Anolis sagrei: one gene and its partners. The protein of the gene in region 1 purifies or fractionates together with the protein of each later gene. This does not show direct contact. Links are inferred from orthologs where the notes say so. Each region holds a gene or a part of one and is shown in the gene's direction. Other genes may lie near its edges.

Region 1 (10,842 bases):
ATGGCCCTTGAGATCTCTTCCAATCTTATTATTCTATGATTTTCTGTTTCATCTCCAAAATGCAATAAACAATAACGGAGATCTCCTTCTTTCCTAGCTATGGTAGCTATGAGGAGCCTGACCCAAAGTCGAATACCCGGGACACTAGTTTCAGCAGCATTGGTGGCTATGAGATTTCGGAAGAGGAAGAGGATGAGGAAGAAGAGGAGGAGGAGGAAGAGCAGCGGTGTGGGCCCAGCGTTTTGCGTCAGGTCCCTCTCTCAGAGGATGAGGAAGACAGTGAGGACTTCCAATCCATTGGCGGAGACAGTGATCTGGACTCAGATGAGTAAAGCCATCTCACCATGAACAACACCTTTCTGAGGCCTGATCGACACCATTTTGCTGTTTCTTCTCCACTGAAATTTGGATATCTTCTGCTGCTAATCAGAGCTCCACCCCTAGTTTTGTTTTCTGTTTTGTCCTTGCTCATATTTGTACCTTTTCTATTATTTTTCTCCCCTGTACAAAACAGACTTACTCCCGGTCCCATTTTTTACCTGTAAAATTGTATATTTTCAAATGATATGTGAGTCAGTTTGTCTCTGTGAAAATTCGCGTTTGTGTGTGTATGTGTCGATGTAAGTCTGTGTGAGTATTAAGGGGCTGATGTGAGTCATACTTGTTTGGTCACAAGATCCTTTCGCTCCCAAACAACATTTCAGCACAGATGCTGTATTTACAGCTCAGGACCCGATGTGTCAAAAGACTTGCCAAACCGTGAATAAACCTTTTCCTGTATAATCTGTTCTGTTTCATGGAGGCTGGAGCTCTGCAGCCCTTTGGAGACACCATACAGAAGGAAAATAGACAGATAATGGGGGAAACATAACTGGGAATCTTCTTGTCAATACTGGTTTATGGGGAATCTACTGGTTATATTGATACTCTTGTATAGGGGACCTAGTGGTTATTTGCAATACTGATTTATATTACTACTGTTATGCTATAGGGAATCCCTTGTGGCCTGTGAGTCTGATTGTCTTCCAAGAGCAGAGTCTTGGCGCTGGGTCCATAAGTGACTATAGAGATTTATTCTGGATCTGTACTGTGTTTCTTTCACAATGAGGACATTGCAGTTAAACGCCAAAAACCCCAAAAAAAACTCCAAGATGATGGCAACCAGACTGATTGATAACTGCCAAATAGAGGGAGAAAACGTGGATGCAGTGACAGAATTTGTATTTCTAGCCATGAAGATTACTGCAGATGCGTTGGCGGGGACGAGAGACAGGGCCTTCTTAGTGGTGGCCCCTTGACTGTGGAATGCCCTTCCCAGGGATATAAGATTGGTCCCCTCCCTCCTGACTTTTCGAAGAAAGGTTAAAACCAGGGGTTTTTTAGCAGGCCTTTGCTAACTCAGAATAATTACACAAAATCATGGAACGACCTGACGATGCAATTGAATAATGATTTTAACAAGGAGATGCCCACAACAATGTTTTTACAGCTTTGTATGGTCTTTTTTATATTTTTATATTTTATGCTAAATGTTTTAACAGTATTTTATGATTGTTTTATTTGTTGATTGTTTTATTTTTTGCCAACTGTGAACTGCCCTGCGTCGTCTTTGGGCTGAGAATATGGCAAATAAAATAAAATAAAATGCAGACTGCAGCCAGGAAATCAGAAGATTTCCTTCTTGGGAGGAGAGCAATGACCAATCTCAATAAAAGAGTGAAGAGTAGAGACATCACACTGGCAATGAAGATAGGCATAGTTAACACAATGGTTATCCCCATAGCAACTTATGGATGTGAGAACTGGACCATAAGGAAGGCTGAGCGAAGGAAGATAGATGTTTTTGAACTGTGGTGCTGGAGGAAAGTTCTGAGAGTGCCTTGGGCCGCCAGAAGATCCAATCAGTCCATCCTCCAGGAAATAAAGCCTGACTGCTCTCTGTATGGAAGGATCTTAGAGGCAAATATGAAGTACTTTGGCCACATAATGAGAAGACAGGAAAGCTTAGGGGAGACAATGATGCTTGGGGAAATGGAAGGAAAAAGGAAGAGGGGCCGACCAAGGGCAAGAGGGATGGATGGGATCCTTGAAGTGACTGGCTTGACTCTGAAGGAGCTGGGGGTGGTGACGGCTGACAGAGAGCTCTGGCGTGGGCTGGTCCAGGAGGTCATGAAGAGTCAGAAGCGACTGAACGAATAAGCAACAACAACCGGGGGGGGGGGGGGGAGGACAAAGCCCCAAACAAACAATGGTTGAGGCATGGAGGACCTTTGGAAGACATTGAGGAAGCCCTGGGAGTCTGGGAGTGTGCTGCTTTCCTCTTGAATCTCTCCAGATTTCATCTGTTTGTGACACCCAGGGTCTAAGTTGTGGTATTCTTGAAGTGACTGGCTTGACCTTGAAGGAGCTGAGGGTGGCCACTGCCGATAGGGAGCTCTGGCCTGGGCTGGTCCAGGAGGTCTCGAAGAACGACTGAACGAATAAACAACAACATTCTTCATAGTATTGCTATTCATTAATCAAATTAAATCAGGCCCTTGTCTCTTGTCCCCTTCAGTGCAGAATCATAGCGGTGAAGATGGGAAATAAGGTTGGGATCTAACACCCCATCCCTGTTTGGCACATGGCCCCACCTGAAAGGGGCTACTTTGGGGGCATTCCTGTGCAAGACTGTGCCCACAGAGGATTTTCATAAATATGTTGGGATCTACTGGATAGGCTTTTGAAGCATGTGAAATGCAATGAAAATGTAATTCAAAAAGCCTTGTTTAATATCAAAGTATGGAAAGCAATGACCAGTCTTGATAAAATGGTGAGGAGTAGAGACATCACACTGGCAACAAAGATCCGCATAGTTAAAGCAATGGTATTCCCCATAGTCACCTACGGATGTGAGAGCTGGACCTTAGGGAAGGCTGAGCGAAGGAAGAGGGATGCTTTTGAACTGTGGTGTTGGAGGAAAGTTCTGAGAGTGACTTGGACCATAAGAAGATCCAACCAGTCCATACTCCAGGAAATGAAGCCCAACTGCTCATTGGAGGGAAGGATAGTAGAGGCCAAGATGAAGTACTTTGGCCACATCATGAGAAGAAAGGAAAGCTTAGAGAAGATGATGCTGGGGAAAATGGAAGGAAAAAGGAAGAGGGGCCGACCAAGGGAAAGATGGATGGATGGCATCCTTGAAGTGACTGGATTGACCTTGAAGGAGCTGGGGGTGGTGACGACCGACAGGGAGCTCTGACGGGTCCATGAAGTCACGAAGAGTCAGAAATGACTGAACGAATGAACAACAACAACAAGGAAAGCAGGGGAAAGGAGTCTTGAGGGAAGGAAGACTTGATAGATTTAGCCTGACTTGGATGACATCCCACTTGCCTCAATGCATTGAGCCCAAAGGCAACCCTAATGGAGAGTTTATTGGGATTCTGAGAGTTTTCCGGGCTTTATGGCTACGCTCCAGAAGCATTCTCTCCTGACATTTCACCCACATCTGTGCCAGGCATCCTCAGAGGTTGTGAGGTCTGTTGGAAATGAGGCAAGTGGAGTTTATATACATGTGGAATAATGTCCAGGGTGGGAGAAAGAACTAGCCTTTGAAAATGACCAGTTCTAACTCAGCCCCACACATTGTCTAATACGGCCTTATTCTTCCTACCAGTTACCCAGATTCTTTCCTCTATTTGGCCCTGGAATGAACAGCCACAGACCCGTACCTCATATTATTTTTGCCTGCCATAGCATTGCACTTAATTTTCGGGGGCCCTAGCATTTTGGGGCTTGCACTAATCTTGGCCTGGCCTTTTAAATTTTTAATTGCCTTGAACAGGCAGGATTACTTTTTATATATGTGTGTTATGGCGACGATTTTTATGCTTATATTTTGTTTGTTAATCTTATAGTGTTTTTACTCTGATGTTTTGTGATATTACTTGGGAACCGCTCTGAGTCCCCTTGGGGAGATGGAGTGGTATATAAATAAAGTATTATTATTATTATTATTATTATTATTATTATTATTATTATTGTCTGTTGGAGGCAAGTGTGAATGTTTAAATTGGCTATTGTGCAGGTACAACTGTGGCAGGAGTTCCAATTTTGTTTGGTTTGCATTTAATGTTTGTTATAGTCCTAAGTTTCAGGGACTCTGCAGATAAGAGGCTTCTTTTGGCTGCAATCATAGGGCAAGCTGCCTGTCAATTATAGTTAGGTTCCCTAGTCCCGCCCCCCTTTTTGGGTTTTGGAGGGAATAGGAGCCAATTTGAGTCCAGTCCACACAGAGAAGTCTTTCATGCAGGACATAATACCAAGAGCTCCTGTAGAAAGCTTTGTCTTCTACGGTTTGGCCGGGAGATATACAGTGTACCGCCTGACTGGGGTTATACAGCCTTACAGCTCCTTTGCTGAAGGACTTCAGCCAGCCATCACTGAAACCTGAACTCCTTCCCCTGGAAGTCTACAAAGCTCTGCTTGGTAAGGGTCGCTCGCGGAAGCCAGAAGCAGTTGGTACCGGGTGCAGGGGCTCCACGCCAACAGAGGCAAAGACAGACTGTCCAGATTAGAAGTTAAGGATTTCCCCATTAGTTACAGTTTATGAAGATAGTGCCTGTTCCCTGTGGACAAGATTGAGAGAGATCCAATAGACTATTAAGAAAGCCTTAAAGTACCTGTTTGTTTTTAATAATAAAGAACTTTGTTGAACATTTAAGCAATCTAAAGACTCTGTTTTAAGGAAATCCAAGGGCCTTTAATCTGAGGCAGCCCCGGCATCCCGTTGGGCACAGAGAGTTTGTGTCCTGTCTACAGTCTTATAGAATCATAGAATCAAAGAGTTGGAAGAGACCTCATGGGCCATCCAGTCCAACCCCATTCTGCCAAGAAGCAGGAATATTGCATTCAAATCACCCCTGACAGATGGCCATCCAGCCTCTGTTTAAAAGCTTCCAAAGAAGTCTACCTTATTTCTTTCACTCTTTTTCTGTTTGAATATTGTTCCCACTCTTTCCCTGTAACCCCATATTATCTGAAAACTTTAATAAAAATTTACTTCAAAAAAAAAAAAAAGCTTCCAAAGAAGGAGCCTCCACCACACTCCGGGGCAGAGAGTTCCACTGCTGAACGGCTCTCACAGTCAGGAAGTTCTTCCTCGTGTTCAGATGGAATCTCCTCTCTTGTAGTTTGAAGCCATTGTTCCGCGTCCTAGGCTCCAGGGAAGCAGAAAACAAGCTTGCTCCCTCCTCCCTGTGGCTTCCTCTCACATATTTATACATGGCTATCATATCTCCTCTCAGCCTTCTCTTCTTCAGGCTAAACATGCCCAGCTCCTTAAGCCGCTCCTCATAGGGCTTGTTCTCCAGACCTTTTGCACAGGCCCAGCGTGCGACAGCACAGCCATGTTGATTAGCATTGAATGGCCTGGCAGCTTCCTCCCTGGGGAATCCTTTGTTAGGAGGTGTTAGCTGGCCCTAGTTGTTTCCTGTCAGGATTTCCTGTTTTCTAAGTGTTGTCCTTTATTTATTTTATCTTATTTATTTTTGTGTGCGAGATAGCTATTTTTGTGTGTTGTTTTCCACATTTTCCCCCATTGGGAATGTTATCACTGAGGTAGAATCCGCCATTTTGTGCCCTGGCGCCTGAGATGCCGTCACTTCCGGTTATGGGAAAACTGCACCGTGGCGAGAGGAGAAGGGGCGGGGCTGCGGGTCTCTTGCCGCAGTCGAACTCCCGCCCTTTTCTCTCCCGTCACTCCTCGCTTCGAACCCCCTCCGTTTACGAGAAGAGGCAGCTCTAATACGCATGCGCGCTGCGCCAATGTGTCGCAGTGTTTGGCGGAGGAATACTGTGGATCCGAGAGGTGATTTGACAATATTTTTTCCGTGTCCCTTTTCTTGTTGGAAATGTTGAGAGAATACGAGAGAGAGCAGAGCAGGAAAGGCTCAGAGTAACGTCAGGAAGGGAAACAAAGGGAAACAACACACCCATCCGCACTAGGAATAGGGACTACTTTTCCTTGGAAGAAGATCCGCCCAGGCCTTGCATCCCTCCGCCTCTCAGCCGCCATTTTAGGAGACGCCGCTTGGGCAAGCGAGGCGCGGAGTGAGTCAGTCAGACAATCTTTCGGCCTCGAAGCAGGAGGAGCAGCGGAAGCCATGGCGGCCTCTGTGGGGAACGTGGCCGACAGCACAGGTATTCCTCGTCAAGGCCTGCCTGTTCATTTTCTCCCGCTTGGGACGAGGCCTCCTCAGTCTCGGGCCTGTTTTCTAGGCCACGCCGAGGATTGGGCCTAAAGGGGGGAGAGGTCGGAAACAATTGTGTCTGGGTCTGTGTGTGTGTGGTTGCTCCTTATATTCCACTCTATTAATAATTGATCGCTGAGGTTTCTCTTAGAAGGGATCTGTTGTTTTCTAAGGAGGCCGAGCACGTGCTTTCTGGCCTCTGACCTTTGGAATAAATCCCTTTAAAATCCCTGTTTAAAAAAACACAGCCTTGTGCTGAGTACAAGGATAGAACTCCTTTAAGAGGATTTAAAGTCGGAGGTCCTTTAGGCTGCCAGGATGTATTTGCTTTTTTCAATAAATACATTATTATACTAGCTGTCCCCTGCCACACGTTGCTGTGGCCCAGTATAGTGATCTGGAAAATAATGAGAAAGTGTTACTTTCTAACCTATGTAATGTCTTCATGCTTGTGAGTAAACAGTATTTCTTTCTGTTTCTTTGTCAGTGTTGATGTGGAGATTGTCTGGTTTGCCTACCCTGGAACAGGCAACATATCATTGTCCTTCTTTAGGGGTCCCTTTCAAACCTTTGATACTGCATCTGTCATCTATCTATCTATATATGCTCTGTGCATAATGAGTACCTTAAAAACAAAAGAACCAATGAACAAAATCACACCAAATTTGGCAACAAAACGTCTCACTACACAAGGAGTGACCATCACTCAAAAATTATGATTTTGTCATTTGGGAGTTGTAGTTGCTGGGATTTATAGTTCACCTACAATCAAAGAGCATTCTGAACTCCACCAATGATGGAATTGAACCAAACTTGGCACACAGGACTCCCATGACCAACAGAAAACACTAGAAGGGTTTGGTGGGCATTGGCCATGGGTTTGGGAGTTGTAGTTCACCTACATCCAGAGAGCACTGTGGACTCAAACAATGATGGATCTGGACCAAACCTGGCACAAATATTCCATATGCCCAAATATGAACACAGATTGAGTTTGAGGGAAATAGACCTTGACATTTGGGAGTTGTAGTTACTGGGATTTATAGTTCACCTACAATCAAAAAGCATTTTGATCCCCTCAAATGAGAGAATTGGGGCAAACTTCCCACACAGAAGCCCCATGACCAACAGAAAATACTTAAGGGCATCCAGTCCAACTCCCTTCACCAGGGCAAGAAAACATAATCAAAGCCCTCCTGACAAAGAGCCATTCAGCCATAGATATAGATAGATGTATATGATTCACACACACACAGATATAATATCCTAGATTTGAAAGGGACCCCTAAAGAAGGACAATTATATGTTTCCGAGTAGGCAAACCAAACAATCTCCACATCAACAGTGACAAAGAAACAGCAAGAAATACTGCTTTACCTACAAGCATAAAGGAATTACATATATTAAAAACTAGCATTTTCTCATTACTTTATTTTCCAGATCACCAGACTCGGCCACAGCAACGCGTGGCAGGGGACAGCTAGTATACATATATTTGTGTGTGTGAATGGCCAGATGGCCCTTTGTTAGGAGGGCTTTGATTATGTTTTCTTGCCCTGGTGAAGGGAGTTGGACTGGGTGGCCTTAAGGCAGCATTTCTCAACGTGGGAAGTCAAGACGGGGGGGGGGGGAGGTCACCAGGGGGGTGTCAGAAGGGTCACAAAAAACCACCATAATACACAGTATTTTCTGTTGGTCATGAGGGTTTGTGTGGGAAGTTTGCCCCAATTCTGTCGTCGTTGGGGTTCAGAATGCTCCTTGATTGTAGGTGAACTATAAATCCCAGTAACTACAACTCCCAAATGTTAAGGTCTATTTTCCCCAAACGCTATCTGTGTTTATATTTGGACATATGGAGTATTCGTGCCAAGTTTGGTCCAGATCCATCATTGTTTGAGTCAACAAAAACAAAGATACACACTACATAAGCCAAAATTTGACAAATTAATAAATTATAACATGCCACCGTACCATTAAAAGTTCCCTGACTCTCAGGCCATTAAGGATAATATTAAAAAGACTTATCCTAGGGTCCCAAAAATTCCATTTCCTTTAGGCCATGTTAAAATATTGCCGGTCCAAAATAGCATTCCAAAAAATATACAATTACAGTAGAGTCTTGTTTATCCAACGTTCTATTATCTAACACAGTCCATTGTTGGAGATATAAATAATCCTTGTTTGGTTTGATTCTAAATTTGTAAATACCGTAATTACTACATAATTTTACTGTGTATTGAACTGCTTTTTCAGTTGATTTGTTGTCAAACATGATGTATTGGTGCATACTTTGTAAAATTGTAACATAATCATAATGTAATTTTACATTTAATAGGCTTTTCTTTAAGCCCTCCTTATTATCCAACATTTTCACTTATACAACATTCTGCCGGCCCGTTTATGTTGGATAAGTGAGATTCTTCTGTACTTGTATCTATCTGGCCATTGCCTGTTGTTGAATTTCAGAAAAGGCCTGGTTCCATAGAAAGGTTTTAACTAAAACAAACATATTAAATTGACACCAAACCATCATCCAAAAATAGTACAGTAATTATTCACTGTGTTCCAGACTTCTCTATACCATTCTTCCAGTTGAATTTTGCTTTTATCTTCTCATTTTTTTGCAGTTATCAGTCTCACTGCTGTTAATAGGTTGGAAATAAATTCATTCACTTCTTGTGAAGATAAAATACTATCATACAATGATAATAATGCTATTTCTGGTGTACCTTTTATTATACATTATTATATCTCACCTTCTTGAGAAATACAAGCAGGACATAATATTACTTAATATAATAATATTATTAATAATTCATAGGTGACGCCTGCTAGCAGGATCTGGTTACCAAATATGGCTTTTGGAAATGGAAGAAGTTCCACTTATTAATCTGTAATCTTTTCTACTACTAATAATAGTAATATAATAATAACGCTCCATCCAGTCATGCCAGCCACATGACCTTTGAGGCACCTATGGACAATGCCAGCTCTTGTTTGGGTCTTCGGCTTAGAAATTGAAATGAGCACCACCCCCCAGCATCGGACATAACTAGACTTAATGTCAAGGGGAAACCTTTATCTTTACATTAATAATACCATTTTATTTATATGTCTCTTTCAATCTTGCGAGAGACTCAAAGTGGTGAACAGAACTGTGCTACAAGCTGTACCATTTACAGTATTATTCAAGACTATGAAACACTAAAATCGAATTAAACCAAGCAATTTGTAAAATATTATGTGCATGCATTTATACCTTGCTTTTCTCTCTCTCAAAGGAGATACAAAGCGGCTAACACGGAAAATAATACAAATGTGTAAACAGTAACCCTATGTAACACTTTTTGTCCCTGGGTTATAAATGTCATTTTGTAATTGGTTCTATCATAAAAGCATGGAAAAAGTGGATCAAAGTGCAAAAACTTTGTTGCTGTGAGAGACGAACTGCAGTACAGTTTGCTCTAGTTTTTCAAGGAATACATGATAAAAGAGTCAAATCAATTGCAACATAGTTTGTCAGCCACAAAAACGAAGTTTGTGGAATAGAACAACAACTTTCAAAGTAAGTATTGCACAATTAAACAGGAAATAGCACTTTTCAAACCAGGAACAGGACAAAAAACCAAATTATGTTACATAGTGTAATTGCATGTGTCTGAAAAAACTCAGTCACTTGCTGGATCTGGGCACAAAAAACCTTTGTGTTCCCAGTCCAATTCCTGGCCTGACTCAACAATGAAGGGAGGTGTTATGGGTTTTCTTCTTGCAACTTCCCCACATTGCTAGCTTGGCCTTGTTTCCATCAACTGAGGTAGTTTTCACATCTAAAAGGTGAGGGTATTTAGCAATTGTGTCAGATCCAGCACTGATCTTTCTCTGGAGGGTTTGAAGCAGAGGCTGGGTGCCATCTGTTGGGAGGGCTTGGATGGTGTCTTCCTGCACAGCAGAAGGGAGTTGGGCTGGATGGCCTTTGGTGTTTCTTCCAAGTCTAGGATTCTGTCGTTCTATTATTATTACATCATGTACTGGAGCCCCCGATGGCACAGTGGGTTAAACCCCTGTGCCAGCAGAACTGAAGACCGACAGGTCGCAGGTTCGAAGCCGGGGAGAGGCGGATGAGCTCCCTCTATCAGCTCCAGCTCCTCATGCGGGGACATGAGAGAAGCCTCCCACAAGGATGATAAAAACATCAAATCATCCAGGCATCCCCTGGGCAACATCCTTGCAGACGGCCATTCTCTCACACCAGGAGCGACTTGCAGTTTCTCAGGTCGCTCCTGACACGACAAAAAAACAAACAAACATCATGTCCTAAAATTTGAAAAAAATCTGTACTGGATTGAAAGTATTCCTTTTAATTATGCAGTACTTGCTTTAAAAGTAGTTTTTATACTCCAGAATCTTCCTTTTTGTGACTGTTGAATTGGTTTAGACTCAATGAGATTAATTGAAAAACTATAGCAAAATGTGCTGCAGGATGTCAATTCCACAAAATCAAAGTTTTCATTTTAGTAAACTTTCCCATGTTTCTCTGATAGAACTACTTAGAAAATGACATTTACAACCTGTTTCATAGTGTTACTAAGTGGAGGCTGGATGGCCATCT
Region 2 (10,376 bases), on another chromosome or scaffold:
ATGCCATCAATATAATACAAAAGCAAAAACAATTAAGTGCATTTAGACAAAAAAGACAGTGCAATAACAATTTAAAAAGAGCTATATCCTCTCATTCCAATCCTCATCCGTTTCATTGTCTTGGCCGTTCCTGGGCCATACTCCATCTCAAGCTTGATTATATATACAAAGTTGTTAATTATCTACTCACAGACTGTGTTACTATGCACTCAATAAAAATTATTTTTAAAAATTATCATTTTTTCCATTGAGGTATGCCATCTCATGATGTGTCCACAGCACTTCAATTTAGCTATCTTAGCTTCTAGTGAAAATGTAATAATAATAATAATAATAATAATAATAATCTTTATTTATACCCCGCCACCATCTCCCCAAAGGGGACTCGGAGCAGCTTACATGAGGCCAAGCTCGGCGATACACTACAGCAAAATAGAATACAGAACAACAAAAATAACATTGCAATAAAATAAATAAAACATTCAGGTAAAATAAACAGTGCAAAATAACAATGGAAAATCAAACACAGTGGGCAAGCCAAATGCACGACATAAAATGATAAAACTCTGAGATAGCAATGAAAAAGGTATATTTGTGGGGGAGGAGCTCGTAGGGGGTGGAACCGTGGAGTTAGGCCATCAATAAGGTGAGGGAAATGCAATATGAGGAAAACACTGTGGGTGAAACAACAAGAAAGGAATATATGGTCACTCTCCAAAGGGACATCTTTTTTTCAAAGATCCATTCATTTTGTTGTTTTAGTAATCTATGATATCCATAAAATTATTTTCCAGCACAACAACTGTTTAACCCTTGTAACAAAACAACCAAATACAAATATTGTCCTTCTCTAACAAAAATGCAAGAGATTTATTGAGAAATACAGTATAGTAGGTTTTTTCTCAGATCTTTCATTTCAACTATGTTACTGTTTGGGGAATGTGTCAGTGTCTGTAAAACACATAATTTTGTCTAATAACAAAGCTAGAAAAAATATTTGTAATGTAATGTAATGTCAGCAGTAATTGAACGAAAAAGCTCCCTGGACCTTTTAAAATATGTAATATTTAAAACTAAGGTGTAATATTTGCAATAGACATTCACATTTGCGTTTTGAGACATTATTGCAAACCATCCTGATCTTCACTATAATTTAGTGTTTGTGTGTGTGTCATACTTCCCATTCGGAATGATTCAACATCACTACAGGCTGTCCAAAAAATCACCATACATAAGGAAAATGGGAAATTGGAGCTAAATGTACCTTTATTTACAAAATATTCATTACACATTTTTACAAAATATTCTCTACATTTTGGCCACCTCTTTCTACACTAACACACACAAAGTGTAATTTTTTCCTATGTATGGAGACTTTTGTGACACCCTATAGAGATACAAGTGCATTAGCACTACTTCATCAGTTCTGAAAAGGAGATGTACCTATAATCTCGGGGCATTAAAACAAAGCTGGACTTGCATAAAACTATTAATGTGGGATCACCAAAAATAATTTAAAAATAGATTGAAAATAGCGAATTGCATACTCTATATAACTCTCATTTTGACCTCATCAACAGGCTGTGCCACATAATAATAATAATAATAATAATAATAATAATAATAATAATAATATGGAACCAAGCATTTGGAGAGTAGTTACAGTGCAATATGCAGCTACAAAGTTAAGATGGTTGGAATGGCTTTTGGATTATGATTTCAGGACGACGTGCTATGCTTTAACTGCTTATTTAAATGTATTTATATCTTTCTGCTTTTTTTATTTTAATGTATTTATTTATTTATTTATTTCTGACATTTATATCCCATCCTATCTCGACTTCCGCAGAGGGACAACAAAAGCATAAATATACATCTTAGGTCAAAACAGTATAAAACATTATAAAAACATAAAAACAGTGAAACATTAGAACAATCGGCAGAATTAAATCGTCGTCCTACACACAGTCCAATTGAGTCCATTAAACCATAGCTCTACCATCATGTTGCTCTAGTCTGCTGATCCCACAGCCTTGATTTCACCTTTTTCCGGAAGGTCAGGAGCAGGTCTGATTTTACTCAGGAGGGAATTCCATAGCCAAGGGGCCACAACAGAGAAGGCCCTGTCTCTCCCCCTCCCCCCACAACCGCAATTGTAATGATGGGGGGGACAGAGAGCAGGCCCCCTCGAACAATCTTAAGGTCCTAGGTGCTTCGTAGCGGGAGATACGTGTGGACAGGTAAACTGGGCCAGAACCGTTAAAGGCTTTATACTTACTTTCTTAGGCGATTCCTCGTTGTCCGAGTAGGATAGTCTTCCATGATCAGTGTGCTGGTGGATCCGTAGGTGACTGTGCAGCCCTATTTTTGATCTGCATTGTCTCCCACAGTGAGGGCATTGGTTTCCAGGTGGAAGGCGGTCTTGGTTGGGGTTGGCTTGACGCGCCTTCCTCTTGGCACATTTCTCTCTTTCACCCTCCATTCGTGCCTCTTCAAATTCTACAGCACTGCTGGTCACAGCTGACCTCCAGTTGGAGCGCTCAAGGGCCAAGGATTCCCAGTTCTCAGTGTCAATGCCAGAGTTTTAAAGGTTGGCTTTGAGCCCATCTTTAAATCTCTTTTCCTGTCCGCCAACCTTCCGTTTTCCATTCTTGAGTTCGGAGTAGAGCAACTGCTTTGGGAGACGGTGGTCAGGCATCCGGACAACGTGACCAGTCCGGCAGAGTTGATGGCGGAGGACCATAGCTTCAATGCTGGTGGTCTCTGCTTCTTCCAGCACGCTGACATTTGTTCGCTTGTCTTCCCATGAAATTTGCAGGATTTTCCAGAGGCAGCGCTGATGGAATCGTTTCAGGAGTTGCATGTGGCATCTGTAGACAGTGCACGTCTCGCAGGCGTAGAGCAGAGTTGGGAGGACAGTAGCTTTATAAACAAGCACCTTGGTCTCCCTCGGATTTATTATTATTATTATTATTATTTATTATGCCCCAGTCCTCAAACACTCTCTGCTTCATTCGGAAAAAAGCTGCACTTGCAGAGCTCAGGCGTTGTTGTATTTCAGTGTCAATATTGACTTCTGTGAAGAGGTGGCTGACAAGGTAGCGGAAATAATCAACATTTTCGAATGTTATACCATTAAGCTGTGTTTCTGGCATTGGAGAGGGATTGGCTGGTGACTGCTGGAAGAGCACTTTGGTTTTCGTATGATATTGTTTCTAGCACCCACGTTTTGCTTGATATTCATACGAAAGCTGACTGGCACAACCTGGGGATCACAACCAGACACAGTGAAGACATCTGCCCTTGCACTATGCTACTCTGCTGCTGAGTACGCATGCCCAGTGTGGAACACATCTCACCATGCTAAAACAGTGGATGTGGCTCTTAATGAGACATGCTGCATTATCACGGGGTGTCTGCGCCCTACACCACTGGAGAAATTACACTGTCTAGCCGGTATTGCACCACCTGACATCCGCCGGGAAGTAGCAGCCAATAGTGAAAGGACCAAATGTAGTGACATCTCCTACTCATCCCTTGTTTGGGTATCAGCCAGCACATCAACGACTTAAATCAAGAAATAGTTTTCTTAGATCTACAGAGACACTCGCTGGAACACCTCAGCAAGCGAGAGTCCAAAAGTGGCAGACTCAAACCCAGCACCTCAATCCATGGGTGATACCAGATGAGAGACTCCCTCCTGGGCACACAGAAGTCTGGGCGACTTGGAAGGCGCTGAACAGACTGCGCTCTGGCACCACGAGATGCAGAGCCAACCTTAGGAAATGGGGCTATAAAGTGGAATCCATGACATGCGAGTGTGGAGAAGAACAAACCACTGACCACCTGCTGCAATGCAACCTGAGCCCTGCCATATGCACAATGGAGGACCTCCTTGTGGCAACACCAGAAGCACTCCAAGTGGCCAGATACTGGTCAAAGGACATTTGATCAACTACCAAGCTTGCAAATTTTGTGTTTTGATTGTTTGCTTTGCTCTGTTAGAAATGTAATACAATTGTCTGGCTGCCCCTGACACGATAAATAAATACTTTGGTTTGATCGATGTTCAATGACATGCCGAGCTTCTCCGTGAAAAATACTAAAACCTATTATGCTGAGTTTCCTAACTGGATATTTTAAGTTGATTTTAATAATGTGTGGGATAGAAAAGTTTGGCCTTCCCTCAAATATCAACCCAGAATGGGAAAATTCTATTCTGTACTTGGCCTGAATCTTTTCCATCATTTCCCGAAGCCATTTCTACCTCCAGGGACCACAATCCTCCCGCTGCGCAAGCTTCGCAATTTTTTCCTTCTGCCATCCCGTTGTTAGAGCTAGCTTTGATGTCGTACGCGCAGATTCGCGAGGCTCCCATTTTGTCACGAGAGGAAAAAAATACCCAAAGAACCCCCGCTCTTTCCGCTCAACATCCTTTAACCCCTTCTCAAGCAAGAACTTCCATTTTCAAAGCGGAGCCTTTTAAGTCGGAAAGTGCGAGTCCGGAACGGCCGACCAGTTTCCTTTTTCCCCCGTTGCGCCTTGCTCTTGTAAGATTTAGGCTGCTGTTTAGAATCGAATGATTCGTCTCTAGGAGAAAACAAAAAAAGGAGATTCTTACGTTCTATGGAATCACACGGAGACTTTTTTAAAAAAGAAAATCATATATTGACGTAGTTATAATGAGTCTTTTCCTCCTCATCTAATTCGTTCTCTACAGTGTGACGAAAGTAATTTTCATTTTCAAAGCAGAGCCTTTTAAGTCGGAAAGTGCAGATACGGAACGGCCGACCAGTTTCCTTCTTTTCCCTTTGAGCCTTGCTCTTGTCAGATTTAGGCTGCTGTTTGGAATCGAAAGATTCGTCACTAGGAGAAAAAAATAAAGGAGATTCTTGCATTCTATGGAATCACACGGAGACTTTTTTAAAATCATATATTTGTGTAGTTCTAATAACGGGTCATTTTTCCCCCTTTATCCAACTCGTTCTCTACAGTGTGACGAAAGTAACATTCATTTTCAAAGCAGAGCCTTTTAAGTCGGAAAGTGCGGCTCCGGAACATTTGAGCCTCCCTCTTGTAAGATTTAGGCTGCTGTTTGGAATCGAACAATTCGTCACTAGGACTGGAAACAAGAAAAAAAAAATCTTACATTCTGTGGTAGAACCACGGGGAGACTTTTAAAAAAATAGTATAGTTGTGTAGTTATAATAATCATTTTCATTTTTCCCTCCTTCGTCTAACTCGTTCTGTACAGCGTGGCGAAAGTGCGGTTGAGGAAACGGAAGGAGGAGAGAACAACAAACCAAACACCGTCACCATAGAGAAGAACAAGGGTGGCGACGACGAAGGAGAGGGGGAAGCAGGATCTCGCGAGACCCGGCGAGAGTCTCGAATCGGAGGTTTTGGCCCCGCCCACTGGTCCCTGTCGGCAGCGGCGGTGGCAAGAGGTAGCGGGTGCTTGTCACCCTTTTCCCTTCTTTCCCTTCTCCCCACCTTCTCTCGCTCGCTCTTCCTCAGACCTCGGCTTGTCCTCTATGGGCGGAGAGCGGGAAGAAGGCCGCGAGTGGGAGAGAAGAGACTGAGAAAGGCAGGAGGGTGCGCGAGCCAGGCCGGGCCGAGAGGGAGGGAGGGAGGGGGAGGGGGAGGGGGGCGTGCGCGCGCCTGGCTCCTGAGAGAGAGTGAAGGGAGGGGGGAGGGGGCGCGCGCTCTCTCTCTTCCGCGAGGCGCCAATGACGGGTGGGGGGGGGGGGGGCGAGGGAGCGGGAGCGCGCGCGGGGGTGCACCTGGTGGGCGGGGCCGGGCACTGGGCCTGGTTTTGTGTGTATGTGTGTGTGTGTGTTGTTTTGTTTTGGTTTTATTTTGGAGGATGGAGGGCTGGGAAGGAGAAGATAGGATCCTGTCTTAATCTGTGTGTATCTGCATATCGGTATGTCTATCTATCTATCAGGCATGGGTAAATTTGGGCCTCCCTCCAGGTGTTTTGGACTCCAACTCCCACCATTCCAAAGATCCAGAGGAATAAGATAGGATCCCCCCCCCCCCCCCGTATATATGTATGCACATCTATCTATCAGGCATGGGCAAACTTGGGAGAAGATAGGATTCTCTCTCTTCTTTCTCTCTCTGTATATATGTATGTATGCATATCTATCTATCTATCAGGCATGGGCAAACTTGGGAGAAGATAGGATTCTCGCTCTTCTTTCTCTCTCTGTATATATGTATGCATAACTATCTATTTATCAGGCATGGGCAAACTTGGGCATCCCTCCAGGTGTTTTGGACTCCAGCTCCCACTATTCCTAATATCCAGAGGAATAAGATAGGATCTCCCCCCCCCCCCCCCGTATATATGTATGCATATCTATCTATCAGGCATGGGCATACTTGGGAGAAGATAGGATTCTCTCTCTTCTTTCTCTCTCTGTATATATGTATGTATATCTATCTATCTGTCTATCAGGCATGGGCAAATTTGGGCCTCCCTCCAGGTGTTTTGGACTTCCAACTCCCACTATTCCAAAGATCCAGAGGAATAAGATAGGATCCCCCCCCCCCCTCTCTGTATATATGTATGCATATCTATCTATCAGGCATGGGCATACTTGGGAGAAGATAGGATTCTCTCTCTTCTTTCTCTCTCTGTATATATGTATGCATATCTATCTATCTATCAGGCATGGGCAAACTTGGGCCTCCCTCCAGGTGTTTTGGACTCCAACTCCCACCATTCCTAACAGCCATAGGGAGAAGATAGGATCTCCCCCCCCCCCCCCCTGTATATATGTATGCATATCTATCTATCAGGCATGGGCAAACTTGGGCCTCCCTCCAGGTGTTTTGGACTCCCAACTCCTACTATTCTTAACAGCCATAAGGAGAAGATAGGATTCTCTCTCTTCCTTCTCTCTCTGTATATATGTATGCATATCTGTCTATCTGGCATGGGTAAACATGGGCCTCCCTCCAGGTGTTTTGGACTCCAACTCTTCCAATTCTTTGGAAGCTTTTAAACAGAGGTTGGCTGGCCATCTGTAAGGGGTGATTTGAATGCAATGTTCCTGCTTCTTGGCAGAATGGGGTTGGACTGGATGGCCCATGAGGTCTCTTCCAACTCTTTGATTCTATGATTCCAGTTGGTTTGGACTCCCACTATTCCTAAGAGCCATAGGGAGAAGATAAGATTATCTCTCTTCTTTCTCTCTCTGTATATGTATGCATATCTATCTATCTGACATGGGCAAACTTGGGCCTCCCTCTAGATGTTTTGGACTCCAATTCCCACTATTCCTAATAGCCAGAAGGAGAAGATAGGATCCTCTCTCTCTCTTTCTCTGTATATATGTGTGTGTGTGCATATCTATATATCTATCTGGCATCGGCAAACATGGGCCTCCCTCCAGGAGTTTTGGACTCCAACAGCCAGAGGGAGGAAGGAGAAGATAGGATCCACCTCTCTCTCTCTGTATATATGAATTTATATCTTTCTTACTATCTGCATGGGCAAACTTGGGCCTTCCTCCAGATGACTTCAACTCTCACAATTCCTAACAGCCAGAGATAGGAGGGAGAAGATAGGATTCCCACCCCCACCCCCCTTATATATGTATGCATATCTATCTATATATCTATCTGACTTGGGCAAACTTGGGCTTCCCTCCAGGTGTTTTGGACTCCAACATCCCCCCCCCCCAAATATATATATTTGTGTGTATGCTTATCTATATATCTTGCATGGGCAAATTTGGGCTTCCCTCCAGGTGTTTTGGACTCCAACACCCCCCCCCCCATATATATGTATGCATATCTATCTATCTTGCATGGGCAAACTTGGGCCTCCCTCCAGGTGTTTTGGACTCCGACTCCCACCATTCCTAACAGCCTCAGGACCCTTCCTCCCCCCCCCCCCCCCACAACAGCCTCAGGTCCCTGAGGGGGGAAAGGAAAGGTCCTGAGGCTGTTAGGAATGGTGGAAGTTGGAGTCCAAAATACCTGAAGGAAGGGTCCAAGTTTGTCCATCTCTGATGTAGATGTGAGGCCTGTACAACTTGTGGCCCTCTTTGTGTTTGGGGCCCCCAACTCCCAGGAGGCCTAGCCAGCTTGCCCAATGGTCAAGCATTCTAGCAACCAAGGGCCCAAACCACAGGCTGTGCAGGCCTGATCTATAAGGTATTAGTAAGTGTGGGATACAAGAGGGGGGAATATTTCATTTTATATATATAGAAAGAGAGATAATGTGGTATAGCATGGAGAGGTGGTGAGGAGAAAGTCCTGATATATATGGAGTGGAGGAGAAGCAAAGTAAGATTAACAGATATATTTTATAGGAAGAGACTGGTATTGCGTGTCTGTGTATATATATCAGGCATGGCCAAACTAGGGCCTTCCAGGTGTTTGAGACTCCCAACTCGCAGAAGCACTAGCCAGCTTGCCCAGTGGTCAAGAATTCATAAATCCCTGGAGAGCCACAGGTTGTGCAGGTCTGTTCTATAAGATATGGGTTAGTGTGGGATACAAGTGGGGGAAATATTTCATTATATATATATATAGAGAGAGAGAGAGAGAGAGATGTAGTATAGTGTGGAGGGGTGGTGAGAGAGTTCTGATGTATATGGAGTAGAGGAGAAGCAGAATAAGATTAAGATATTTTATGGGACGAGACTGCTATAGTATGTGTGTATATGTGTATATATATATACACACACACATATACACATAGTCACCTACAGATCCACCACCAAGATCCTACACTTGGAAGGCAATCATACTTGAACACGAGGGATCGCTGATGATGATCTCTCTCTCTCTCTCTCTCTCTCTCTCTCTCTCTCTCTAGGAAAGTGGTACTTGCAGGGCACAAATGGGGAAAATATTTCATGAGGAAGAGGATGTGGGATAGTGTGATTATCAAGGGAGGACTGTGGGAATATGTGTGTGTGTATAGAGAAAGAGAGGATAGGGGTAGGTGAAGGGTTCAATTGGGAAAATATTTCATGGAAAGAGGATGTATATTTTGTGTCAAGAGGTGGCAGAGGCAATATAAGTGCAAGATACAATTGAGAGAAATATTTCATAGGAAAGGGATTTGGTATTGGCAGAGGGAGGAACCCTAAAAGTACTTTAGATATAGAGATAGGTGTGGGGTACAAGTGGGGAAAATATTTCATGAGAAGGAGAATGTGATATAGTGTCGTAGTGGAGATGGGGAGGTGACAGAGAATCCTGGGAATACTGTATGTGTGTGGATAGATAGGGAGGTAGAGAGCTAGAGGCAGCAGGGTAAAATTAAGGGAAGGGGATGTGGTATAGCATGTGTGGAAAGGGGGAGAAGCTGAATCATTTGGGGATCCTCTAGGACTAAGCGTTGAACTTGGAGGCCCAGGTATCTGCGGTAGCCAGAAGGGCCTTTGCTCAATTAAAACTTGTACACCAACTTCACAGAAGCCAGATCTGGCCACAGTGATCCATGCCTTAGTTACATCCCATCTGGATTACTGTAACACTCTCTATGTGGGGCTGCCTTTGAAGAGTGTTTGAACACTTCATTTGGTCCAAAGAACTGCAGCTAGGTAGCTCACTGGAGCTGGCTACAGGGAGTGGGCAACCCCCTCCCCCCCTTGCAGCCGGTTCACTGGATGTCAGTGTGTTTCCAGGCACAATTCAAAGTGCTGGTTCTGACCTTTAAAGCCCTAGACCACTCAGACCAAGGCTATTTGACTGACCATACCCCCTTGTACGAACTTGCCTGGACCCTGAGATCTTCAGGAGAGGCCCTTCTCTCAGTCCTACCTCTAAAGCAGGATATAAATAAACATAAACATAATAACAATAAGTAACATACATATAAATATAGATTAATATGATAGGGTAATTTGGAATACAAGTGGAGGAAATAGTTCCTGGGAAGAGGTATGATATAATGGAAGGAGGAGAGAACTCAGAATACATACATGCATGTAGGGTAATGGTTGGTATGCTGTACAAGCTGAGGAAATACTAAGTGGAAGAGACTGTGTTAATAGGAGGGGAACACACAGAAACATAAAAATAGGTATAGTGTAGAGATGGTTGTGAGGTACAAGTGGAAGAAATATTTCATGGGAATGGGAGTATAGGTGAAAAAAAGGAATGGGCTTTATGGGTAGTGGGACTAAGGAGATACCTGAGTAGGCAGGTATCCTTAACAGAGGAACACACAAAGCAAGTTGGGAGGAGAAGAGAGGATTTGGGGGGCGGGGGGAGGCACAGGCTCCAGAAAGGAAACACTCCTTCCTTCAACCCACATTTCCATGACATGGAGTGAAGTAATAAACAAAAAGATAGTATGGCCAATTGAAAAATGTAGGTATGGAGAAAGTTTAAGAATCTAGAAAATT
Region 3 (10,849 bases), on another chromosome or scaffold:
TACTTCTAAAATACCTGACATTTTAAATTCTTTTGTTATTTCAATTGTTTCATCTCTTTTTCAGATTAAAAGCGGAACTGGAGGACATGCAGATGGAAATGGAGAATGTCAGCATTGATGAGAATTAACATGGTTTGTAGAGTGCTAAAATACAGGATGGGGTACAGGTTAAGTGGTTTTAATAATTCTCAAAAAGCTATCACATATCGCAGGAACATATGATCCTCTAGGTCAGGGGTGTCAGATTCATTTTAATCAAGGAGCACATCAGCCTTATAGTTGCCTCCAAAGATTACTAAATCCATGGATGGAGAATCTGTGGATACAGAAGGCTGACTATTTCTTTTTAAAATAGTGGATGGTGCGCTTTACTTTTAACCCAGTTTGGGTCCCCAGATGTTATTAAACAACAACTCCAGTCACTTTTATTTCCAGTCTGCGTGGCAGACTGGAACGCAGTCTTCCACGCAGACTGGAAATAATAGGAATTCCAGCCCAAAAGCATTTGTGGCTCTGAGATTGGGGAAAAATTAAAGGACATTTTAAATTCAGACACAATTTGGATACAACAAGCCTTGTATCCAAATTCAAACCCCACTGGAGTTTGTTCTGACTAAACAGAACAAACTCCAGCCTTTCAGATGTTAGTGCAGCACAACTATCAGCTCTAGTAGTGATCTCTAGTGAGGAACATATCTGGAGGGCAACATAACATGACATGGGCCTAGAGTTTGACACCTGTGCTCTACCTGTTGTTGGACTGCAACTTCCAGCATTCCAAGACAGCAAACCCAAAAATAAAGGATGATGGAAGCTGCATTCCACAATATCTGAAAGGACATTTCCCATTTCTGCTGTACAATAACCTAATATCAAGGTAAAATAGCAAACTTGGTATTATAGGGATGGTAAGAGATTACTGGAACAAGAGGAAAACACTGAACAACATGAGGTGGACTCTTGGGTTTCAAAGTTGGCTATGTAGCTATGCTAATTATTCCAAATCTGCTATGAAGTATAGGATATCTTCTTGCTCTGTCAAAGATTAGAGTAGAGGTGAGCAACCTTCAATAGGTTTAGACAGAAGCTCCCACTCCTCCATTCAAAAGAGGAATCTTACTGGAATAACAGAACTAACCTTTCATTTATTCTCTCTCCACATTGGCAGATTCATGTGAGCTGGAGAAGCCTTGCTTTGAAGAAAAATCCTTATCTCAATGGAATGGTTCATTTCGACCTTAACAAAGCATTCATGAAAAAATCCTGTTCCTTCTCCGGTTAATAGTAATTAATATACATATTCATTCAGATCTTAGCATTTGTTGTGCCAAAGACTTTACTATAAAATCATATTAAAAGGAACCACTGATCCAAAATTCAATTGTAACTTCATTAACAGAAAATCTTGATGTTTGCTTGTTACATCAGTTGAAGCATATTTTATTTCAGTTGTCTGTGTCCAAATAAACAGATTTAACAGGTTTTTGAAGGACCAATCAGGTTTTTCATTGGAGGAGATGATAATGGTACAGAAAAGTGAATGTGTTAAGTTATAGTTAGTATTATCTCTGTTGGGCATCAGTTAAACAGAAGGGGACTTCATACTAATTTTTTGGATTTGTAATTCTGCGCTCAAGAATTTTGTGAAACTTTCTAACAAAAACCTAGCACCTTGTTTATTTTTTAGTCCAATTTTTGGTTTACTAAATAATTTTAAGGAAGAGAATAGTTGGAGATTTGCTTTCTTCTTTAAGATTTCTTCTGTACAATCCTCTAACTTGAAAATGTGTCCGAGAGAGATAAGGATGGGGCAGAAGTACCCAACCACCAACAGCAAGGAGTTTTCCTGAGTGATTGGGAACCACAGAAGAAAGAAACCCATGGTCAGCAGGCACAGATCTGGTTACTGGTCTTTCCTGAAAGTGGGGACATTTTTTGAGATAAGTAATGGCAGGTGTTCATAGATAACAAGCTAATTTCTTTCTTCAGAAGCCCCAAGGATAAGGTATACTTGCCATGTCAGCCTGGAGCTCATGTAATTAATTCTCTCTCTGTACAACTTGTTTCCATGGGAGTGGGATTTTTTTTTTTTAAAAAAAAACTTCATCCTGGGCTTTTTGCTCAAAATTCTCTTCCTTTTTCTTACTTACTGTTGCCAAAATGTGTCCTAATAGTAATTGTTCTGTTGAATAAAAATCTAATTCTAAGGGCTCACAGACCCAAAGACATTTAAGATAACAGCAAACTCTTGCATTTGTTGCTCTTATATTTGTGAACTGCATTTGTGATTCTCCTGATGGGATCAGGTAGCTGCCTACAAGGCACTAACCCTGTCTGATGGGGGCTGGTACAGTTTAGGTGATGTGTCAAAACTTCGTTCCATAGAGGTTTTCCAAACTTGAAATGCAATTTCAACCCTGGTCCTTAATTTTGTTTCTAATGTTTGTTGTTATACATATTTTTAATTATTTCTAAATTTTAAGTTGACCTAGACCTAGAGGCTCTTTTTGAGCCAAATGGTGAATTAAACACAGTGTTATCAATTAATTATTTCTAGGTACTTCACTATTATATCAGGTGTTACCAGCCACAGTTTAGACAAACACTCTCAGCCTTTTGTATGCACAGGTTCAACCATCCACAGCTTGAAAAAATATTTTCAACTCATTAAACAACCCTATTTTACTATGCCATTTTAAAATAACAGGACTCCAGCATTCACAGATTTTGATATCCACAGGGACCAAACCAGCAGACATCAGGGGCCCACTGTACTTATAACATTGAACTCAACCATGTAGGCATTAAGCACAGATAACATCTCTTCCCATATGCATTTTCATTGCAACTCTTGCACTGGCTATAACGAAAAACCAGACAACTGCAAAATTTGAAACTGATGGCTTGAATGCCACATTTATTAATCAATTCTTGAGCTTATATGTAAGGTTCTCTAAAACTGCAAGACCATGTGTTTAAAAATAAACCATGCAAAAATCATTCAAATAAACAATGGTCCCCAGCCAAAGACATGTTCATATGCCTTCAAATACCTTAACTATGAAAAACTTCAATAACCCGCAACATCTCAACTACAAAAGATTCAATGTGAGATTAAAAACTGATCTAACTAAAATTTCCTTTTTGGCAGAATCGCTCCAGCAAGCATATTGTTCTATCTAGATAAATGTTATTTCAGGTCTTATCAATAGTGAACAGCTTAAAATAATAAAGACTGCAGCAAATGTTTTCTCTAAAAATAAACCCGCAGCATATTGAACGGCATTTAATGACTCTACAGAAATATTATGCAACTTCTCTTCCCTAGATACAGGATCAATCTGTGCTCAAAATATTTATCCATTTCAATTTTTGAAAATACTCTACAGAAATCTTGGGAGGGAAAAAATCAAATCTTCAGCTTGCAATTGGACAAAAATAAGCCAAAACTAAACTAACATCACTTCTGTAAGCCCCTGGCTATTGTGTTTCATTTGGAAGATCTGCGAGGTGTGCGAAGAATACATATTGGCAATCAAAAAAACCTTGACACTTTATGCCAGTTTTAAAACATCACACATTTGCTAACATATTTATCAGAAAAAATGAAAAGCTGAGGGTGAAATACCATATTTCATTGACTGAGATACAGCCCACTTTTGAAGTTCCAATTTAGGGGGAAAACCTATTTGAACTTTGATTTTTAGATTTTTTTTTTTATAGTCCTCACCCCAACTTTTCTTGTTTCTCTCTCTGGATTTCCTGGCCAGCCTAAAGCCTCCTCAACCTGTACCTGATGCTGTTATCAGCTGGTGCATAGTTTCTCATCTCTGGGCTGCCACTTTTTGAACCTTATCACGCTACAGCAGTGGTTCTCGACCTGTGGGACCCCAGGTATTTTAGTCTTCAACTCCCAGAAATCCTAACAGCTGGTAAACTGGGATTTCTGGGAGTTGTAGGTCAGAACACGTGGGGATCCACAGGTTGAGAACCACTGTGCTAGAGAATGGATCCATTTTAAACCAGTGGTTCTCACCCTGTGGGTCCCCACGTGTTTTGGCCTTCAAATCCCAGAAATCCTAACAGCTGATAAAATGGATGGAATTTCTGGGAGTTGTAGGCCAAAACACCTGGGGACCCACAGGTTGAGAACCACTGCTTTACATCCTGTGGATGCCTCCCGCAGAATTCTGGGGTTTGTAGTTTAATGAGGTCCAGGACCTGCCTGGCTGAGCATTTTAAAGGCCCTTTCTCTAAACTACAAATGCCAGAATTCTGCAGGAGGCAGACACAAGATTTAAATGGATAGGTGCTCTAGGTTGATGAAATCCTTAATTACTGCTGTCACTCTAGTATGGTCAGTTTTTTAATAAGGGAGATTGGAGCAGCAGCTGAGATGGGGTCTTTTGCTTGCTTCGCGAAAGCATTTTTCACTGGCTTAGAGTGGCTAGAAGACCTGGACCCAGAATCTGGCTTCTCTCTCTCTCTCTCTTTCTTTGTGTGGCTTTGCCCATTGGGAGTGGAAGTGGCAGACCCAAGTGGCAGACCCAAAGAGAGGAGGAAGACTGGAATAAGGAAGCCATGAGTGTGAGGCAACAATGGAAAGGAGGAGCAATGGAGAGCTGCTACTTCACACTCCGGGTGCACAGGACTTCGTCTCATCTCTTTTCTGCTGTTAGAATGTTTATTTATTTACTTACTGTATTTGTATACCGCCTTTCTCAGCCTGCAGGCGACTAAAGGCAGTCAACAGGGCAAAATTCAATGCTTACAATGTCTTGTTGTTGTTCATTCGTTCAGTCGTCTCCGACTCTTTGTGACCTCATGGACCAGCCCACGCCAGAGCTCCCTGTTGGCTATCACCCCCCCCCCCCCAGCTCCTTCAAGGTCAGTCCAGTCACTTCAAGGATGCCATCCATCCATCTTGCCCTTGGTCGGCCCCTCTTCCTTTTACCTTCCACTTTCCCCAGCATCATTGTCTTCTCTAAGCTTTACTGTCTCCTCATGATGTTCCCGAAGTACTTCAACTTTGTCTCTAGTATCCTTCCCTCCAATGAGCAGCCGGGCTTTATTTCCTGGAGGATGGACTGGTTGGATCCCCCAGCAGTCCAAGGCACTCCCAGAACTCCCCTCCAACACCACAGGTCAAAAGCATCTATCTTCCTTCGCTCAGCCTTCCCCAATGTCTTAAGTACAATTAAAAACATAAATAACATATAACAAAAACTAAACAAATCAATAAAATATAAGTTTATAGTGTCTCCTTGTTAAAAACATTGTACGGACTCTTTGTCTAATCATTCCATTTTCACATGTCAGTTATTCTGCATTTGCAAATGCTTGTTCAAAAAGCCACGTCTTGACTTTTTTCCGGTATGTAAAAATGGAGGTGGCCGATCTAATACCTGTAGGGAGGGCATTCCACAGCCAAGGGGCCACCACCGAGAAGGCCCTGTCTCTCGTCTCTGCCAAACATACTTGAGGCGGTAATATTTGCTGGATGGCTGAATAATGCAGTTTTCCACATTTAAAAGAAAAGAGAGAGAGAGAGAGAGAGAAAAGGGGGGGGGGGTTAGCAGCAACTTTGAGTCTATGGTTGCTCCTACACTATTAAACGAATGCAGTTTTGACACTGCTTTAACTGCTATGGTTTAAACTTGGGATTTCCAGCTTGATAAGACACCAGCACTCTTTGCCAAGATAAGGCAAAAGACCTTATGAGACCAGAAATCCCAGCATTTGAAGCATGGCAGGTAAAGTGGTGTGAAACTGCTTTCAATCTACAGTGCAGATGCAACCATAAAAAGGGCTGCTAAATGACACCCCCTTAATATTTTTATTTATTAAACTGCATTATTCGAGCGATCCAAACATAAAGGACAGCTTGACATTGAACAAGACAAGCGCTGACAATTACCAGTCAAACCATTCTTAACACCACTAATATCCCAATGCTCCTCCCGTCGTTGCAGTGACTGAGCCACGCTCATGTGCCTTTTTTTCTATATTTCTTCTATCGGCTCCGGAAGCGGAAGCGTCGAGAAGTCACGCTAGCTTCGAAGCAGGACGTTCTAGGAAGTCAAAACAAACAAAAAAATCCCAATGGAACGGCGGCTCCCTTCGCACGCGCCTCCTCGGACTCCTCCTTCAGCGAAAGTCCATTGGCGAGAAGGCGCCAGGCCGCCATTTTTAGCGTAGTATCTCCGAGGCGTCTAGAACTTCAACTCCCAGAATTCCTTATCGTTGGCCGAAGCATCCGAGACTTCTGGGAGTTGAAGTCCAATTGGAGTTTGGGCCTCATTTGGCATGGATAGTCTTTTCTTGTTGTGGCTAATACCGGAAACGGAAGTAGTCGCGGGCAGGCGCTCTGGCCTACTATTGCCGAGCGTCTTGTCGTCTTGTTTCAGAACAAGGGAACTGGCCGAGAGAGAAAGGAAGAGAGCGGGAGATCATGGTGAGGAGGAGGAGGAGCCGGCGGCATTGGGGTCCGCCATTCCCTCAGCCCGGCCTTCCGTTGCTGAGGGCGGGAAGGAGGGAAGCGTCTGTGGGGGGCTCTGGGTTTCCTTCCCAGCCTAGGGAGCCAGTGCTCATGGGCTCCACCCTGGGAAGGGCACTGACCACTAGCAGGGGCCTGGCTCTGTCTTTACCCAGAATGGCTAGCAAGGACTCTCCTGGGTGAAGACAGAGCCAGGCCCCTGCTGGTGGTCAGTGCTCTTCCAAGGGTGCATCCACACTATAGAGTTAATGCAGTTTGACACCGCTTTGACGGCCATGGCTCCGTGCTATGGAATCTGTCGTTTCGTAAGACCCTTGGCCTTCTCTGCCTAAAAGTGCTGGTGACCCCTCGAACTACAACTCCTGTGATTCCATAGCGCTGAACCTTGAAAATGGTGTCAAACTGTATTCATTCCACAGAGTAGATGCACCTCCTCTCTGTCAAAGAGTTTTGCAGAGCCGTTGACAGGTCTTTGGCTTTTGGGAGGCTCCTTTGTGCAGTGATTCTTAGTCTCTTGAGTGCAGCTTGCTCCATGGTAGGTATGCACAAGTCTGCAGCTTTATTGTTGTTGTTGTTTTGTAGAAATCTGTCTGGAAGTATGGAGGTGAAGCAAATGTCACTGCAAAGATCGGCGGCTAGATTGTTAACTGGAGCAAGTTACAGAGAGCGGTCAACCCTCCTGTTTAAATATCTCCACTGGCTGCCGATAAGTTTCCAGTGCAGGTTATCATAGAATCATAGAGTTGGAAGAGACCTCATGGGCCATCCAGTCCAACCCCCTGCCAAGAAGCAGGAATATTGCATTCAAATCACCCCTGACAGATGGCCATCCAGCCTCTGTTTAAAAGCTTCCAAAGAAGGAGCCTCCACCACACTCCGGGACAGAGAGTTCCACTGCTGAACGGCTCTCACAGTCAGGAAATTCTTCCTCATGTTCAGATGGAATCTCCTCTCTTGTAGTTTGAAGCCATTGTTCCGCGTCCTAGTCTCCAAGGAAGCAGAAAACAAGCTTGCTCCCTCCTCCCTGTGGCTTCCTCTCACATATTTATACATGGCTATCATATCTCCTCTCAGCCTTCTCTTCTTCAGGCTAAACATGCCCAGCTCCTTAAGCCGCTCCTCATAGGGCTTGTTCTCCAGACCCTTGATCATTTTAGTCGCCCTTCTCTGGACACATTCCAGCTTGTCAATATCTCTCTTCAATTGTGGTGCCCAGAATTGGACACAATATTCCAGGTGTGGTCTAACCAAAGCAGAATAGAGGAGTAGCATTACTTCCCTGGACCTAGATACTATGCTCCTATTGATGCAGGCCAAAATCCCATTGGCTTTTTTTGCCGCCACTTCACATTGTTGGCTCATGTTTAACTTGTTGTCCACGAGGACTCCAAGATCTTTTTCACACATACTGCTCTCAAGCCAGGCATCCCCCATTCCGTATCTTTGCATTTCGTTTTTCCTGCCAAAGTGGAGTATCTTGCATTTGTCACTGTTGAACTTCATCACCTATAAAGCTCTAAACGGTTCAGTACCTGGCTATCTGTGTGACCGCCTCCTCCCTTACGAGCCCACGCGGTCCTTAAGATCATCCGGGGATGCCCTTCTCTCGTTCCCGCCCCCGTCTCAGGCACAGTTGGTGGGGACGAGAGAGAGGGCATTCTCGGTGGTGGCCCCCCGTCTCTGGAACTCCCCAGGGAGATTAGGCTGGCACCCTCCCTAGTCACATTCCATAAGGAATTAAAGACGTGGATGTTTCGCCATGCTTTCGATTGACGACTTCTATGACAAATGGCCTGTATCATGACTTGAATTGTCATTCAATCTGATGTCCTATATTGTATTAACTATTGTCTGTTTCCGTGATTTTTCCTATGCCGTTATACATTGTCATCTACCTTACTAAACCACTTTATCCTTTAACTAGCTCACGTAGTGGTTTTCCTCCCCCACTCCAAAATTAGTCTGCTGTTGTTGTTGCTAGCTATTTTTGTTATGTTGTTTTATGCTGTTTTAATTGTTATTGCTTTATTTTAATTGTATTCTGCCTGGGCTTGGGCCCCATGTAAGCCGCCCCGAGTCCCTTTGGAGACATGGAGGCAGAGTAGAAAAATTAAGTTTTTCTTCTTCTTAAATGTGTTTGCCATGATTCATTTTTTCTCTTCTTCTGTGCAACTCAGGATGAATTTTCTGACCCAGATCTAGCTGTTCTGGGCGAGGAGTCCAAATCAGAGAATGGAGAGAACGCTCCAGTTTACTGCATTTGCCGCAAACCAGATATCAATTGTTTCATGATGTGAGTATTTCTGAGGGAATTTTTAAAATGTCATCAGCAACTTGAGAAACTGCAAGTCACTTCTAGTGTGAGAGAATTGACTGTCTCTAAGGACATTGCCCAGGAGACGTCCAGATGTTTTACCATCTTGTGGGAGGCTTCTCTCATTTCCCCACATGGAGAGCTGGAGCTGACAGACGGGATCTCACCCTGTTCCCTGAATTCGAACCACCAACCTTTCGGTCACTGGCACAAGGGTTCAATACATTGTGCCACTGTGGCAACATTTCATTGGAATACAGTACATTCCCTGTATCCGGGGTGGGGTGGGCTGTGCTGCTGCATCTGCACAAGGCCTGGGCAAACTTCAGCCCTTCAGTGTTTTGGACTTCAACTCCCACAATTCCTAATAGCCAGTAAGCTGGCTGGGATTTCTGAGAGTTGGAAGTCCAAAGCACCTGGCAGAACGAAGTTTGCCCATGCCTGATTTACACTGCAGGGCAATAATATGATAGCTGGGTCCCTACGCTAGTTGCGCAATGCAGGTCAGAATTAATGAAGGGGACATGTGCATGAGACAGTGGAGCGAGTGAGAGATGCCGCTGCAACAGGATAACAGTGAAGTAATTTAACTCAGGAGGGACAGGATAAGGGTGAGGTAATGTAACAGTACTTCCCCTCTCCTTTTTATCCTTCCTTCCATTGATCGTCTTTTCCTGCTCCTTTTTATCCTTCCTTCCATTGCATCGACTCCGCTGCAGCTGCGTCTCTAACTTGGCGCACTCACTTGCGCACCTGTTCCCCTAATTTAGACCCACGTTGCGCAAGCAGCATAGTGTAGGGTCCTAGCTATCATACTATTGCTGCAGTTTGAATCCACTTTAAATGCTATGGCGTATTTCTGTGAATCCTGGTGGTTGTAGTTTCACAGTCTTTCTTTATCCCCCCCCCCCCCACTCCAATGCTGGTACTTCACCAAACTACAACTCCCAGTATTCCATAGCATTGAACCATGACAGATAAAGCGATGTCAGACTGCATCAGTTCTATAGGGTTGGTGCACTCCTATATGGGAACTCACAGATAATACTGAATCCTATTGAAATGAAGGGACTCTTTACTAAGAATACCCATACCCATACCAACTCTGTCACTCCTTCCCACCTGCTACTAAGGAGGCTGTCGAGGTCCTGAACCGGTGCCTGGCCGCTGTAACGGTCTGGATGAGGGCGAACAAACTGAAACTAAATCCAGACAAGACAGAGGTACTCCTGGTCAGTCGCAAGGCCGAACGGGATATAGGGTTACAGCCTGTGCTGGACGGGGTCGCACTCCCCTTGAAGGCGCAGGTTCGCAGCTTGGGTGTGACCCTGGACTCATCGTTGAGCCTGGACCCCCAGGTTTCAGCGGTGACCAGGGGAGCATTTGCACAGCTTAGGCTCGTGCGCCAGCTGCGCCCGTATCTCGGGAAGTCTGACTTGGCCACGGTGGTACACGCTCTTGTCACATCCCGCCTGGATTACTGCAACGCTCTCTACGTGGGGCTGCCCTTGAAGACGGCCCGGAAGCTTCAGCTGGTCCAGCGTGCGGCAGCCATGTTACTAACTGGAGCGGGTAGCAGGGAGCACACAACGCCCTTGTTGTCCCAGCTCCACTGGCTGCCGATTTGCTACCGGACCCAATTCAAGGTGCTGGTCTTGGCCTACAAAGCCCTAAACGGTTCCGGCCCAAAATACCTTTCTGACCGCATCTTGGCCTACGAGCCCACGAGGACCTTGAGATCGTCTGGGGAGGCCCTTCTCTCGATCCCGCCTGCGTCACAGGCACGGCTGGCGGGGACGAGGGAGAGGGCCTTCTCGGTGGTGGCCCCCCGGCTGTGGAACACTCTCCCGGCACACATCAGACAGGCGCCCTCCCTCATGTCCTTTCGAAAAAGCCTTAAGACCTGGCTGTTCGAGAGGGCATTTAATTAAGTGCTAAGCAACAACATTACGGTAATGAGAACTGGAATGGTATAAGGAAGATGAGACTGGCTATGATTCTACTAAGAGACGAAGCGGATTTTTATGTAGTTTGTATTT

What was found.
Region 2: the proteins of OGT (region 1) and SETD1A purify together in Homo sapiens (affinity purification with mass spectrometry; 4 studies listed by BioGRID and IntAct, with this or other methods). This does not show direct contact. The link is inferred for Anolis sagrei from reciprocal best matches to the Homo sapiens genes OGT and SETD1A.
Region 3: the proteins of OGT (region 1) and CXXC1 purify together in Homo sapiens (affinity purification with mass spectrometry; 3 studies listed by BioGRID and IntAct, with this or other methods). This does not show direct contact. The link is inferred for Anolis sagrei from reciprocal best matches to the Homo sapiens genes OGT and CXXC1.

The regions. Positions count from the first base shown.
Region 1 is NC_090030.1:21,091,533-21,102,374, reverse strand, and holds the start of OGT (UDP-N-acetylglucosamine--peptide N-acetylglucosaminyltransferase 110 kDa subunit), read left to right. Parts: upstream 1-6,049; 5' UTR 6,050-6,146; coding exon 6,147-6,183; intron 6,184-10,842. Other genes in the region: TAF1 (transcription initiation factor TFIID subunit 1), read left to right, coding at 98-332. UniProt on the Homo sapiens protein: Catalyzes the transfer of a single N-acetylglucosamine from UDP-GlcNAc to a serine or threonine residue in cytoplasmic and nuclear proteins resulting in their modification with a beta-linked N-acetylglucosamine (O-GlcNAc).
Region 2 is NC_090026.1:14,486,957-14,497,332, forward strand, and holds the start of SETD1A (histone-lysine N-methyltransferase SETD1A), read left to right. Parts: upstream 1-5,304; 5' UTR 5,305-5,447; intron 5,448-5,460; exon of another isoform or gene 5,461-5,595; intron 5,596-10,376. UniProt on the Homo sapiens protein: Histone methyltransferase that catalyzes methyl group transfer from S-adenosyl-L-methionine to the epsilon-amino group of 'Lys-4' of histone H3 (H3K4) via a non-processive mechanism.
Region 3 is NC_090022.1:193,733,182-193,744,030, forward strand, and holds the start of CXXC1 (CXXC-type zinc finger protein 1), read left to right. Parts: upstream 1-6,226; 5' UTR 6,227-6,451; coding exon 6,452-6,454; intron 6,455-8,673; coding exon 8,674-8,789; intron 8,790-10,849. Other genes in the region: synaptonemal complex central element protein 1-like, read left to right, coding at 65-128. UniProt on the Homo sapiens protein: Transcriptional activator that exhibits a unique DNA binding specificity for CpG unmethylated motifs with a preference for CpGG.